Stegostoma tigrinum: one gene and its partner. The protein of the gene in region 1 purifies or fractionates together with the protein of each later gene. This does not show direct contact. Links are inferred from orthologs where the notes say so. Each region holds a gene or a part of one and is shown in the gene's direction. Other genes may lie near its edges.

Evidence for each region. The genes of interacting proteins can lie anywhere in the genome.
Region 2: the proteins of protein c-Fos-like (region 1) and stk40 purify together in Homo sapiens (affinity purification with mass spectrometry; 3 studies listed by BioGRID and IntAct, counting the BioPlex papers as one, with this or other methods). This does not show direct contact. The link is inferred for Stegostoma tigrinum from reciprocal best matches to the Homo sapiens genes FOS and STK40.

Annotation. Positions count from the first base shown.
Region 1 is NC_081363.1:1,205,984-1,213,188, reverse strand, and holds the start of protein c-Fos-like, read left to right. Parts: upstream 1-4,125; 5' UTR 4,126-4,197; coding exon 4,198-4,326; intron 4,327-6,574; coding exon 6,575-6,751; intron 6,752-6,979; coding exon 6,980-7,087; intron 7,088-7,205. UniProt on the Homo sapiens protein: Nuclear phosphoprotein which forms a tight but non-covalently linked complex with the JUN/AP-1 transcription factor. In the heterodimer, FOS and JUN/AP-1 basic regions each seems to interact with symmetrical DNA half sites.
Region 2 is NC_081377.1:7,207,360-7,215,406, reverse strand, and holds the start of stk40 (serine/threonine-protein kinase 40), read left to right. Parts: upstream 1-4,988; 5' UTR 4,989-5,356; coding exon 5,357-5,359; intron 5,360-6,619; exon of another isoform or gene 6,620-6,966; intron 6,967-8,047. UniProt on the Homo sapiens protein: May be a negative regulator of NF-kappa-B and p53-mediated gene transcription.

The DNA of each region.
Region 1 (7,205 bases):
AGTATATCCTACTGCCTTTACATTCTTCTAGGGATTCACTTGATCCCTGCTGTCTATACCTGATGTTTCCTTATTTTTCTTGACCAAAAACTCAATTTCTCCAGTCATCCAGCATTCCCTACGTCTACCCGCCTTGCCCTTCACCCTAACAGGAACATACTGTCTCTGGACCCTTGTTACCTCATTTTTTAATGATTCCCATTTTCGAACAATCCCTTTACCTGCAGACGTCTACCCCCAATCAACAATGAATTCACATCAGCCTTTCCTGGACCACTCTCCTAAACCGTCTAAATCTTTCTGCAACTTCCCCACCTCCTCAGTGCTACCTGCCTGTCCACCTATCTTCGTATCATCGGCAAACTTCGCCAGAAAGCCCCCAGACCCTTCATCCAGATCATTAATATATAAGGCGAACAGCTGCGGCCCCAATACTGAATCCCGCGGGACACCACTCGTCACCAGTTGCCATTCCGAAAAACCTTTTATCCCAACTCTTTGCCTTCTGTCAGACAGCCAACCCTCAATCCATGCCAGTAGCTCACCTTGAACACCATGGGCCCTCACCTTGCTCAGCAGCCTCCTGTGAGGCACCTTATCAAAGGCCTTTTGGAAGTCTAGATAGATAACATCCACTGGGTTTCCCTGGTCTAACATACTTCTTACCTCTTCAAAGAATTCTAACAGGTTTGTCAGGCTGATTAGCCTAACCTCAGTTGTTGGTAAAATTCTAGAGTCCTTGCCTAACACCATCAAATACCAAATGTTCTGCTATTACTTTCTAAATAATTGATACCATTAGTTTTCCAACAATAGATGTTAGGATAATCAGCCTATGGTTACCTGCTTTTTGCATCCCTCCCTTTTTGAATCGTGAGTGTCACCTGGCAGTTTTCCAATCCTGTGGTACTTCATCAGAATCCAGCAATCTGTGCCCTTTTGTGCTTTCTTCTTTTACAGGTGACAACAGCTTCTCCTTATCTACTCTACCTGTGATTTTGAAAACTTAACAATCCCAATTTCTTCAATCTATCTTATCAGTGAAGTTTCTCATTCCTGGAACCATTCTTCTGCTTTCCTTCTACATTCTGTGTTTGTACCTGAATAGATACTTTGGATCTGCCTTCACTCAGGAAGACACAAGCAATCTCCCAGATACAATAGTGGCTGAAGGACCTAGGGTAATGGATGAAGTGAAGGGAATTTATATTTGGCTGGAAATGGTGTTGGACAGACTGTTTGTTCTGAAGGCTGATAAGTCCCCTGGACCTGATGGTCTGCATCCCAGGGTACTTAAGGAGGTGACTCTAGAAATTGTGGACGCGTTGGTAATCATTTTCCAATGTTCAAGAGATTCAGGATCAGTTCCTGGGGATTGGAGAGTGGCTAATGTTGTCCCACTTTTCAGGAAAGGAGGGAGAGAGAAAACAGGGAATTATAAACTGGTTAGCCTGACATCAGTGGTGGGAAAGATGCTGGAGTCAATTATAAAAGATGAAATTACGACTCATTTGGATAGCAGTAACAGGATAGGTCAGAGTCAGCATGGATTTACAAAGGGAAAATCGTGCTTGACCTGCAGTATTGTATGCAGTTTTGGTCTCCAAATTTGAGGAAGGACATTCTTGCTATTGAGGGAGTGCAGCGTATGTTCACGAGGTCAATTCCTGGAATGGCAGGGCTATCATATGTTGAAAGATTGGAGCGACTGGGCTTGTATACACTTGAACTTATAAGGATGAGAGGGGATCTGATTGAGACATATAAGATTATTAAGGGATTGGACACTCTGGAGGCAGGATGCATGTTTCCGCTGATGTGTGAGTCCAGAACCAGAGGACACAGTTTAAAAATAAGGGGTAGGCCATTTAGAACAGAGTTGAGGAAAAACTTCTTCACCCAGAGAGTGGTGGATATATGGAATGCTCTGCCCCAGAAGGCAGTGGAGGCCAAAGTCTCTGGATGCTTTTAAGAAAGAGATGGACAGAGCTCTTAAAGATAGTGGAATCAAGGGTTTTGGGGATAAGGCAGGAACAGGATATTGATTGTGGATGATCAACCATGATCATAATGAATGGTGGCGCTGGCTTGAAGGGCTGAATGGCCTACTCCTGCACCTATTGTCTGTTATTCATGTCTCTCCCTGACCCTTTATAATGTAGCCCCACATTCATGGGGGATTCAGCGGTGACATTGCCATTGACTGCCATGGAGCAATGGTTGTATTCTCTCTGGCCATTGCCTGGATGAGAATATTATTTTCCACTTTACAGCCCAGCCTTGATATTGTCCATGTTTTGCTGCATGGACGTCTTCAGTATCCGAGGAACTGTAAATATATCAAAATGTTGTTTAATTTTCAAAGAATATTTCTTCAACATAGGTTCAATCTTAAAATTATTTGCATTTTTATTTTCAAATCCATCCTTGACTTCTCAAATCCATCTCCCCATCCAGCCCTCACAGTCTCCTCCAGCTGCACAATGTCTGCAGATCTCAAAACTGAACTTACACAACCTCAGTCAGTGATTGGGCCTTCAGAAAGCTGGACATTAAGTCTGGAATTCTATCCCTAAATGTTACCATCTCTCCATCCTCCTTTAAGATGGTCCTCAAAATGATGCTCGCTGACCAAGCTTTGGACATCTGCCTGAATAATTCCTGTGTGTGAATGTTGCTATAAAAGATGCTGTCAAAGTTTCTTTTTTCGAACATCAGGACAGGGACAAGAGTAACAAATTTCAGAGGAAATAATTTATACTGCATGAAAAGGTGTGCTGATTCTTCGACCTCTGGACTTCAATTGGTTGAGGTGTCAAGCATAGACAACAGGGATAACAAAGTGTGGAGCTGGATGAACACAATCGGCCAAGCTGCATCTTAGGAGCGCAAACCTGACCCTTATGCTGTGATAATGGGAACTGCAGATGCTGGAGAATTCCAAGATAATAAAATGTGAGGCTGGATGAACACAGCAGGCCAAGCAGCATCTCAGGAGCACAAAAGCTGACGTTTCGGGCCTAGACCCTTCATCCTCTCTGATGAAGGGTCTAGGCCCGAAACGTCAGCTTTTGTGCTCCTGAGATGCTGCTGGGCCTGCTGTGTTCATCCAGCCTCACATTTTATTATCCTGACCCTTACTTATGCTGTTGTTATTTCAAATAAGGCACAGTGCTTTTTTTTTTCTGCAGGGACAGCTCCCTGTGTTTATACCTACTTTGACAACACTACCAGCCCTCGGAGAGAATCGCAAGGTTTCACAAACCGCACATTATCCTGGTTTGGAAATATATCGGCATTCCTTGACTGTCACTGGGTCAAAGTCCTGGGATGCCCTCCCAGCATTCTGAATGTACCAACAGCACGCAGACTGCAGCAATTCAAGAAGCCAGCAGCTCCTACTCCAAGCTCGCGGCATCCACATCCTGTGGATGCATGAAAACTGATCTGGAGCAAAGATATCGTTCCGTACAAGGCAGGCAGCTTACACCGCGCATTTCTCACACTTTGCATACAGGCAGTTGAGAATAAGTTATAAATATTCGGATGGGACAGGGTGACGAAGCCGGGTTAAATGTGAGGACAGGGCATACAAACAGAGAGATGTGGCACTGAGGCAGAATGCTGGCTGGCTGCAATTCCCAGCTACAGAGGCGGCATCAGTTTTCTTTCTGCTCCTGCCCAGCTGGTTGTTGTTGTTGTTGTTTTGCAGTGTCCCTGCTGGCAGCCTGGGATCTTGCTGTGCCGCCGGCTCTCTCTCACTCCCCCTCCCTCCGCGCATCCCGCTTTCCGGACCTCACTCCAAATAAGGGCATCTACGTCAGTAGGTTCCCGGTGCTGGGCCGCACCAATTCGGCGTGGGTTGGGTGAACTGACAAGACCAAGCGAAACCGGCAGTTCCCGAGGCTCAGGCGGCCGTTGACTGAGAAATGGAGCTGATTTAGACTCCCGCTACTTCTGACCGTCCGGAACCTCTCTGTCCTGTCTCTCTAGTGTTTGTAGTGTCTGCATGGACGACTCTGCCCCCCCTATTCACCTATGCATGATGGAGCCGTCCAGGTGCGTCATTCGCCGCAAATCCAATAAAAGGCGATGGGTCCGAGCCTGACACAGCAAACCCTCCGGAGAGAGACAGCGAACAGCACCGGGACGGAAAGGCAGATAGCGCGGACACAGGCAGCCCGGAGACCCGGCACAATGTTCCAGGCTTTCAGCACCGACTACGACTCCGCTTCCCGCTGCAGCAACTCGCCGTCCATTGGCGATCCGTTCTATTTCTCACCCGCAGACTCCTTCTCCAGCCTGGGCAGCCCGGCCCACGTCTCGGTAAGTGACCGAGAGATTAGATGGGGCTGGGGTAAACACTGATGCTGGGGGGCAGGGGGTGCTGGGGTAAACACTGGAGGGGTAAACACCCACGCTGGGGGGGGTTGGTGGGGTGAACACTGACGGTGGGGGGTGAACACTGACGGCGGGGGGGTTGGTGGGGTTGACGCTGTGGGGGTGGCGGGGTAAACACTGACGCTGGGGGGTTGGTGGGGTAGCGGGGTAGACACTGACGCTGGGGGGTTGGTGGGGTAGCGGGGTAGACACTGACGCTGGGGGGTTGGTGGGGTAGCGGGGTAGACACTGACGCTGGGGGGTTGGTGGGGTAGCGGGGTAGACACTGACGCTGGGGGGTTGGTGGGGTAGCGGGGTAGACACTGACGCTGGGGGGTTGGTGGGGTAGCGGGGTAGACACTGACGCTGGGGGGTTGGTGGGGTAGCGGGGTAGACACTGACGCTGGGGGGTTGGTGGGGTAGCGGGGTAGACACTGACGCTGGGGGGTTGGTGGGGTAGCGGGGTAGACACTGACGCTGGGGGGTTGGTGGGGTAGCGGGGTAGACACTGACGCTGGGGGGTTGGTGGGGTAGCGGGGTAGACACTGACGCTGGGGGGTTGGTGGGGTAGCGGGGTAGACACTGACGCTGGGGGGTTGGTGGGGTAGCGGGGTAGACACTGACGCTGGGGGGTTGGTGGGGTAGCGGGGTAGACACTGACGCTGGGGGGTTGGTGGGGTAGCGGGGTAGACACTGACGCTGGGGGGTTGGTGGGGTAGCGGGGTAGACACTGACGCTGGGGGGGGGGGTTGGCGGGGTAGGGTAGACGCTGACGCTGGGGGGGGGGGTTGGCGGGGTAGGGTAGACGCTGACGCTGGGGGGGGGGTTGGCGGGGTAGGGTAGACGCTGACGCTGGGGGGGGGGGTTGGCGGGGTAGGGTAGACGCTGACGCTGGGGGGGGGGGTTGGCGGGGTAGGGTAGACGCTGACGCTGGGGGGGGGGGTTGGCGGGGTAGGGTAGACGCTGACGCTGGGGGGGGGGGTTGGCGGGGTAGGGTAGACGCTGACGCTGGGGGGGGGGGTTGGCGGGGTAGGGCTGACGCTGGGGGGGGGGGTTGGCGGGGTAGGGTAGACGCTGACGCTGGGGGGGGGTTGGCGGGGTAGGGTAGACGCTGACGCTGGGGGGGGGGTTGGCGGGGTAAACACGGATCGGTGGGGGGTTGGCGGGGTAAACACGGATCGGGGGGGGTATGTATTTTGTCCCGCGGTGGGAGGGCTGTGCTCTCTCTGGTTCCGGGAGAATCCACGTAAAGTGTGACGTCTGGGGCTGGTGATGCGCTCGCTCTGAACCAATCAGCGCCGCTTTATTAATAAACCCCGTGACGTCAACTCCATTCACAAAAACAATCTTGGCCCCGAGGTGGGGAGGGGGGGTATCCCCGCACGGGGGGGGGGGGCGCCTGAGTGTGTGTGTGTGTGTGTGTGTGTGTGTCTCTCTCTCTGTCCCCCTTGGGGGGGGGGGGGTGTGTGTGTGTCTCTCTCTCTCTCTGTCCCCCTTGGGGGGGGGGGGGTGTGTGTGTGTGTCTCTCTCTCTGTCCCCCTTGGGGGGGGGGTGTGTGTGTGTGTGTCTCTCTCTCTGTCCCCCTTGGGGGGGGGGTGTGTGTGTGTGTGTCTCTCTCTCTGTCCCCCTTGGGGGGGGGGGTGTGTGTGTGTGTCTCTCTCTCTGTCCCCCTTGGGGGGGGGGTGTGTGTGTGTGTGTGTCTCTCTCTCTGTCCCCCTTGGGGGGGGGGGTGTGTGTGTGTGTGTCTCTCTCTCTGTCCCCCTTGGGGGGGGGGGGGGTGTGTGTGTGTCTCTCTCTCTCTGTCCCCCTTGGGGGGGGGGGGTGTGTGTGTGTCTCTCTCTCTCTCTGTCCCCCTTGGGGGGGGGGGGGTGTGTGTGTGTCTCTCTCTCTCTCTGTCCCCCTTGGGGGGGGGGGTGTGTGTGTGTGTGTCTCTCTCTCTGTCCCCCTTGGGGGGGGGGGTGTGTGTGTGTCTCTCTCTCTCTCTGTCCCCCTTGGGGGGGGGGGGTGTGTGTGTGTGTCTCTCTCTCTCTGTCGCCCTTGGGGGGGGGGGGTGTGTGTGTGTGTCTCTCTCTCTCTGTCGCCCTTGGGGGGGGGGGGGGTGTGTGTGTGTCTCTCTCTCTCTGTCCCCCTGGGGGGGGGTGAAGTCTGTCTGTGTCCCGGCCTCTGTCTCATGTGTTTCTCTTTCTCTCTGCAGGACCCTGGCTCCGAGCTCGCCCCCAGTCTGACGGCCCTGAGCCGCCGGCCCGAGCTGCAGTGGATGGTGCAGCCCACCCTGAGCCCCCGGCCCAGGCACGAGTACAGCCTCGGAGCCCCGTACAGGGCACGGGCCGCCAGCAGCAAATGCCCCGGCCGCAGGGGCAAGACTGACCAGGTGAGGCCGGCTCCAAGGAGGGGGCTTTGCGGGGCGGGAAGCGTGGTACTGCCCCTGACGTGGGGGGGCACTGTACCTGCCGTTCAGCTGGGGGTGGGGGGGGGGGGGCAATCCGGAGGGATGCAGGCTCGGCTGGAGCGGTGGGGGATAATGTTTGCTGCGGTCTATGAAACAGGGTCTCACCGCCCGCCCCCTCTCTCTCTCTCTCTCTCTCTCCCCACTTTGCAGCTGAGCCCCGAGGATGAGGAGAAGCGCAAGGTCCGGAGGGAGCGGAACAAACTGGCTGCAGCTAAATGCCGGAACCGGAGGAGGGAGCTGACCGACAGCCTGCAGACGGTGAGTGCGGCTCCGGGACCGTGGGGGGGGGGGGGTAGTGCCGGTTATGGGGGTGGGGGGAGTCGAATCATAGAATCCCAACGGTGCGGAAAGTGGCCGTTCGGCCCATCGAGCCTGT
Region 2 (8,047 bases), on another chromosome or scaffold:
GGCCCTAAAAATAATGGATGTATTGGTGGTCATCCCAAGATTCTTTAGACTCTGGAACATTTCCTACAGACTGGAGGGTAGTGAATGTAATCTCACTATTTAAAACAGAGATAGAAAGAAAACAGGGAATTAAAGACCAGTAGTCTAATATGGATTGTGGGGAAGACTGCATTATCAAGGATTTTATAGCAGAGCCCCTATAAGATAGTGGTAGAATCGGACACAGTTAGTGTGGATTTATAAAAGGGAAATAATGCTAAACAAATCTACCTGAATTCTTCAACAACGTAACTAGCAGAGTTTATCATGGGGAGCTAATGGATGTGATGCTTTTGGACTCTCAGAAGACTTTTGACAAAATCCCACATAAGAGACTAAAGTGTAAAAGTAAGGTGTATTGAATTGGGATTAGTGTATTGAGAGGTTCGAAAATTGGTTAGCAGACTGGAAAGAATAGGAATTTATGGGTCTTTTTCTGAATAACAGGTAGTGACTAGTGGGGTAGCACAGGGTTCAGTACGAGGACCCCACCTATGCACAATATATGTTAATGATTTAGATGATGGAACTAAATGTAATATCTCTAAATTTGCAGATGAGACAAAGCTGGGTGGAAAGGTGAACTGTGAAGATGATGCAGAGATGTTTCAATGTGATTTGGACAGGCTGACTGAGTGGGCAAATGTATGGCAGGTGCTGTATCATAAATGTGAGGTTGGTAGCAAAAATAGAAGGCAGATTATTATTTGAATGGTTATAAATTGAGAGAGGGGAATGTTCGACAAGACTCGGATGTCCTCTTGCATCAGTCATTGAAAGTAAGTGTGCAGGCAGTAAGGAAGGTAACGTCTATGTTAGCAATTATACAGGGCTTTGGCAAGGCCACACCTGGAATATTATGTGCAGTTTTGGTCTCCTTATCTGAGGAAGGAGATTCTTGCTTTCGACAGTATGCACTGAAGGTTTACGAAGTTGATTCCTGGGATGGCAGGACTGACACATGAGGAGCAATTAAGTTAGGATTGTATTCACTGGAGTTCAGACGATTTTTTTATATTCACTTATGGAATGTGGGCACACTGGCATTTATTGCCTATCCCTAGTTGTCCTTGAGAAGATGATGGTGAGCTGCCATCTTAAAAAGCTGCAACCTCCAAGTCACTCAACATCCTGACTTGGAAATATGATGCAGTTCCTTCACTGCTGCTGGTTCAAAATCCTGGAATTGCCTCCCTAATGGCATTATGGAGGATAATCTCAGTGGTATGGTAGGACTTTGTCTCCACGGGGACTGTGTGGTGGTCACTCACCGATATGCTCATGGACAGATACATCTGCAGCCAGCAGATTTGTGAGGATGAGATCAAGTACGTTTGTCCCTCCTGGCTCCCTCACCACCTGCCACAGACCCAGACTAACAGCTATGTCCTTTAGGACCCATACAGCTTGATCAGTAGAGCCACATTCTGTGGAAGACATTGGAATTCCTCACCCAGAGTATATTTTGTGCCCTCGGTGCTTCCTCCATGAATTGTTCAACATGGAGAAACACTGATTCACCAGCCAAAGGAGGCAGTCGTAACCTGTATGTCTCGCTCTGTCTAAGCAACCTATGATCTATATGTCCTTGTTTGCTATGACCTGTCTGTACTGCTTGCAAAACAAAACTTTTCACTGTCCTGAGGTACAGTGAATGCAATAAATCAAATCAAATCAAGTGATACATGATATCAGCAGGAGGTTTCCTTATCCATGTTTAACCTGAAGCTATGAGACTTGTTGAGAACTCCAGGGCAACTCCCTTCCGACTATATCCCACTGTGCTGCCATCTCTGCTGGGGTCTGTCCTACAAGTGGGACAGGGCATATCCATGGATGGTAATGGTGGTGTCAGGGACATTGTAAGTTATGAGTCCATGAGTATGGATATATTAGGCTGTTGCAGTTTTCCCAATTTTGGCACTAGCCCCAGGATGTTAGTAAGGAGGACCTTTTGGGCTCAAATCCTGTTTCTGCTGTTGTCTTTTCTCATGTCTAGGTTGATGTCAGGTTGTCCATCCAATTTTATTTCTTTGTTGAGACGTTGCTGTGTTTGATAGAACGGAGTGGCTTACTAGGCCATTTCAGAGGGCAGCTGAGAGTCAACTATGCTGCTGAAGTCACACACAAGCCAGACCAGGTGAAGATGACAGATTTGTTTCCCTGAACGACATTATTGAATCAAATGGTTGTCCAACAAATGACAACGGTTTCACTCAGACCCAGGTACCCAGAACATGAGTTTAATAGCTTGGTGATAACACCACTAAGCCATCACCTCCCCTTAATGAGGTTGGATATTCACAGAAACCCATAAAATTCTAACAGTACTAGACAGACTAGAACAGGAAGGATGTCTCTTATGGTGGGGGGGGGGGGGGGGGGGGTGGTCCAGAAGCAGGGGTCATAGTTTATGGATATTGGAAGATTGTTAAGGAGAAATTTCTAAACTCAGAGAGTGGTGAGCCTGTGATTGAGGCTGAAAAAATTATGTGTTTTCAAGAAGGATGTAGAAATGGCTCTTGTGGCCGAAGGGGTCAATGGATATTGAGTAGGAAGGTGGGATTAGGGTGTTGAGCTCATGATCAGCTATGATCATAATGAATGGCAGAGCATACTTGAGGGGTAGAATGGCCGACTGCTGCTCCTATCTTCTATGTTCTACTCAGCAGGTCTGTTAGAACCTGTAGAGAGAGAAACAGAGGTACATTAGACCACAAGGCATAGAAGCAGAAGCAAGCCATTTGGCCTTCTGCATCTGATCCACCATTCAGTGAGACCATGGCTGATTGGACAACCATCAGTTCCACTTTCCTGCCTTTTTCCCTTAACCCATGATTCACTTACTGCTTAAAGGTCTGCCTTTCTCAGCCATGAATATACTGAGTGACCCAGACTCTACAGACCTCTGCAACAAAGAATTCCACATGTTCACTATTCTCCGAGAGAAAAACTTCCTCCTCATCTCTGTCATAACCAGGCAACCCTTTACCCTGAGATTTCGCCATCTGATCCTTGAATCTCCCACAAGGAAAACAATCTCTTTGCATCCACCCTGACAAGTTGCCGAAGAACCTTGCATGTTTCAATAAGGACACCTCTCATTCTTCTAAATGCCAAGGACTACAAACCTACTCAAAATCTCCTCACAAGACAATCCCTTCATATCCAGAATCAACTTAGAGAGTCTTCTCCAGACTGCATCCAATGCTGGTGTATCTTTAATATCTTCTGACCAAAGGTCAGCATGGGGAAATGTGATTTTATGTACTTTGGCAGGAAGAACAGAGGAATAGAGGAGCTGAATATGATTTAAATGGAAAAAGGCTGCCAAAAGCTGTAGCACAGAGGGATTTGAAAGTCCTTCTGCATAAATCACTCAAAGCTACAGAGTGCAGCATTCCTTAGATGTGGGGTCCAAAACTGTTCACAATATTGCAGGTGTGGCCTAACTAGAGCCCTGAACAGTTTTAGCAAGACTTCCATATTTTGAACTCCATTGTCTTTGAAATAAAAGCCAACATTCCAGTTGCCTTCCCCGTCAGCTTTTTGAGATTTATGCATGCGGACTTCAAAATCTCTCTGTGCTGCAGCCTTCTGTAGCCCTTTTCCATTTAAGTAATATTCAGCTCCTCTGTTCCTCTGTTCTTCCTGCCAAAGTGCACAAGCTCAGACTTCCCCACAATGACCTTTTGTCAGATGTTAAAAAGCATATGCAGCAGGAAAGGTCTTAAGAAGTGCCTTGTGTACTCCAAATATTATTTCAGGAAGGATATATTTATCTTGGAAATGGTGGGGAGCAGAGTATTCAGAAAGCAGAAGTTGCTGAAAAATCTCAGGAGATCTGGCAGCATCTGTGGAAAGAAAGCAAAGTTAATGTTTCAGGTCCAGTGACCCGTCTTCAGAACCCGAAAGGGTACTGAAAAATCTAACATTTCTATCAGATTGACAGTACCGACATGATGTGAATTTAAAATGTTAACAGTGGTTATTTTTATTCAATAAGCATGTGTAAGGAAGTTAAATTCAGCAAAAATACAAATTGAGGCATTCACAAGGGCAGTGGATGGTAATTTGGATAGAAATGGTGTACAGAGCTACAGAAAAGGCAGCAGATTGGCATTTGGTAATAGAACCAGTACAGACACAATGGGCCAAACAGCTTCATTTTCCACTATAATAATGCTGTGATTCTGAGATGAGCTTGATCTAATTTAATGACATTCATTGCAGGTTTAAGAGGCTGAAATGCTGAGTCCTGTTTCTTTTCGTGCTTTACTGTTATCTCCTGTATTTAAAGGACTATTTAAAAGTTGCTTTTATTCTGTCCTGCTTCCAGCTTATAACTTCCCTCAAATGTTAGCCCCTTACATGTTCTATCAAGTCGCCAGTGATGGCCATACCTTCAGCTGCCTCTACCCATACTCTGAACACGACTCTCAACCTCTCTCTCCTCTATTTAGATGCTGCATAAAGTTGACCCCTGTAGTTGGTCTGGTCTGTGAAGCTTTTTGTTGCCTGTCCTTATTGCAGGCCAATCATAGGATCGGAACAGGATTATGTCACAGAATTGAGGCCATTTGGCCCACCGAGTCCGTTCAGCTCTCAATTTTAACTGATAACACTCCTGTGAAGCACCTGGGTATATTTGACCATATTAAGGGTAACATATAAATGCAGATTCCTTTTCAGTTACTGCACGCACCTCAGTTTGGCTAATGGCAGCGCCTTCTCAAGAATGATTGATAGTCACAACCATTTGTGACTCAGTCCTCCCAGTTTTTTTTTAACCGCTATTCACATTTGAGACGAATCTGCACTTTTGACGTTTTGCTGTTAAATGCGTTGGCACACCTCTCCTCTCGGCTGTATCTTCATGCTGTCACAGCCTGTTTTAAAGTCCAAACATGTTTCCTTTATTAAACTCCTGTTTTATCGAATGGCGAGAGATTTGATATATCTGCTTCAGCAAGAGGGCACGGTTTATGATATCAGAGGTGATTGGATTGGCTGGAGCTGCGCACAGTTATTAATTTGCTCAGAGGGCAAATGGTCTGTTGGTTGGCTCTAACCTGCCTGTCTGTGTCTGCGCTTTGCACCTACCTGGGAGAAGGAAGCAATTGTAGCAGCAGGGAAGGGGAGGACCTTTTTTTTAAAGAGAGGAAATGTGATCGGATTCATTCGACGAAAAAAATAGCTCTGCGACCTTCCAGCTACTTCAGAATGCGGGGGTCAGCGACAGCAGTCTGATTGGAACGGCTATTCAAGATTTGACTGAGTTTTGTACCTAATATAGCTGGCGGGAGGAGAGACTGCGATGGTACGTACAGCAAAACTGTTTCACCTTACATCGGGCTGTGTGGGAGGGGGGAAATTTGACTAGTCTGTAAATATCACCGCCGTCTCTAAATTCGGCATGATTTATTTATAAATTGCAAGGCTTTTTGAGCTCTCAGGAGTAATTGGAAATACTGACTTTCTGGTCTAGTGTCGATCAAAGCCATGTGTTTTCAATTTTATCCTCTCCCAGCACTTGCTGGTTAACGCAAGGATTTGATTTCAGTTATGATGTCAAGAAAATTTACGGTGCTTTACTTTTTTTTTGAAAAGGGGGATTGGGATGTAGAGACAAAAATAGAAATTGCTGTAAAATCTCTGTCTGGCAGCATCTCTGGAGAGAAATCAGAGTTAACGTTTCGGGTCGAGTTACCGTTCCTCAGGTTTGGGATGTACGTGGATTTGTCAAGTAATACTATGTGTGGGCTCTTCCTGTTCCTCTGGAAGATATTTTTCTGTGACAGGTTGTCGAGAAGTCGCCTCCATTGTAAAAGCAGTGTTTCACAAACATATAGTAACTTGGCTGTCGTTGTTTAATCACAAGTAAAGTCGAGAAGTGGCACTTGCGAAGGCACATGTTTTTAATCAGTTGGCAATGTCAGTGATCCGGGCAATAAAAATTAAATTATGCTGGATTAAAGGTCCTGACTTTGATTTAAAGCAGAGCGGCAAGCTGATAGGCTCACGCTGCAAAACTTCCAAAGTTCTGCTGATGCAGCCGAATTTTTTTTTGCCCCCAACAATAACTCTTGCAGCTGCAGAGTCTAATGCAGTAAGAGGTGCAATTAATTCGGTCAACATTCAGGTTCCACTGAAAGCACTACTGTCAAATGACATCTTCCACCTTGCTGAAACAACCTGCTTGCACTATCAGCAAGGTCCCAAGGGTGATGGATGCGATGGTTTTAAACTTTGAAATGTTGCACCTGCAGATAAATGAATGCATTTAAGATTTAAAACCTAACGATTATGGTTCATGCTGCAAAATTATGTTGTGAAAGCACTGGACACCTCTTCCAGGGAGGCCGCGTGCCTTTCTTCAGTGTCGGCTCTGATTGGTAGATAGGGCTGTCAATCGCGATGATGGACAGCGACGGAATGAGCTGGCATCCAGGCTAGCCCCGCCCCAGTATGAGTATCGGTTTGCGATTGGCTGTGAGCTGCTGCTTGCCGTCTGTTCATCAAGGCAGGGCGCGGGAGGTCCCGGCGATGGGCCGTGCGTCATTTCCGTTGTCAAGTGATATTCCCCGCCCCCTGCTTATGGCCTGGGCAAAGGCGAGGCTCCTGGGGCGGGATGGAGATTGAGGCTGCGGCTCTTAGTGTCGCGTCGTCCCGCCGGCTTCGGGCTGTCGCACGATGGTTTCCACCATCCACTCTAGCCAGGTGTAAATAGGAATCCCTGCAGCGTTCCCCCAGGCCCCACCGCTGCCAACGTTTGCACCGGGTTTACGTTGCGGACGGGGGAGAGAGAGAGAACACAAAAAGCCTGCCCCCTGTCCGAGTGAGGTTGGTGCGGCGACGCAGCGCAGGCGATCCCCTGGCGATGAGAGGCGGAGAGCGGCTTTAGGGGAGTCGGAGCCGGCACACGGGGTGAGTGAGTGGCTTGGGGTGGGCCCGAGTGATGGGGATGGTGGTGGTGATGAAGAAGCGGGGAAAGGGGTCGGAGGGTGACGACCCCCCGCCCCCGGGTACTCTCTGCTTCTCCTAGCCTTCCACTTCTCTCCTCCCTCCCCCCAACACTTTCGTATGAATCCTGGCCCACCGATCCCCAGTTCCCTTGCTCTTGGCATCCCCTACCCTGCCCCCCCATATGCCTCTGATCCCCTGTTGTTTCTGTGTATGTCTCCCTGATCATCTACAGTCTCTCATGTTACCCCTCTGTCGGCTCCCTGTTGCCCCCCCTGTTTATCTTCTGTAGGTACCCTGGCATCCCTTGCACATGTGCCCTGCTCTCCTCACTCCTGCTCACCCCCTCCCCAACCAAACATCATTTTCCCAGATAATAAAGTGTGAGGCTGGATGAACACAGCAGGCCAAGCAGCATCTCAAGAGCACAAAAGCTGATGTTTCGGGCCTGAAACGTCAGCTTTTGTGCCCCTGAGATGCTGCATGGCTTGCTGTGTTCATCCAGCTTCACACTTTATCATGGGATCTGCAGATGCTGGAGAATCCATTATCTCTTATCATTTTCTCATCCTTCTATTCAACCACCCCCACTGTTGCCACATCCTTTACATAAAGCCTGTAACAAAGACTTTTGTTGGAAGGAGTATCTTTATTCCTTCATCTTAATTGTAGATTTGAAATTTGTTTGTTGTTTGGATTTATGTCACACCTTTGCAGTGTCATTGAAGTCTCTCTTGCTCTCGCTCATCCCCATCCTCATCCAGTGTGTAGTTCACAGGTGCACGGCTGTGATGGTATGGCACCTGTTAGAATAATCCTGGACAACTCTGAGCCTTGATGTTGATTTAACATCAGGAAAGTGTTGGCTTTGAATCACTTGCATTTGCTGAAAGGATAGATTTCAATTTTGGAGACATGGGCATGTGTCACTGTCTGATGTCTTTGGATTTCAAGCATGCAGTGGAGCAGCACATGACCATAAGTGATTGCTGGCTCAGCTTTACTCTTGTGATGCTTGCTGGTAAATGCCCCCTTGGTGATATGT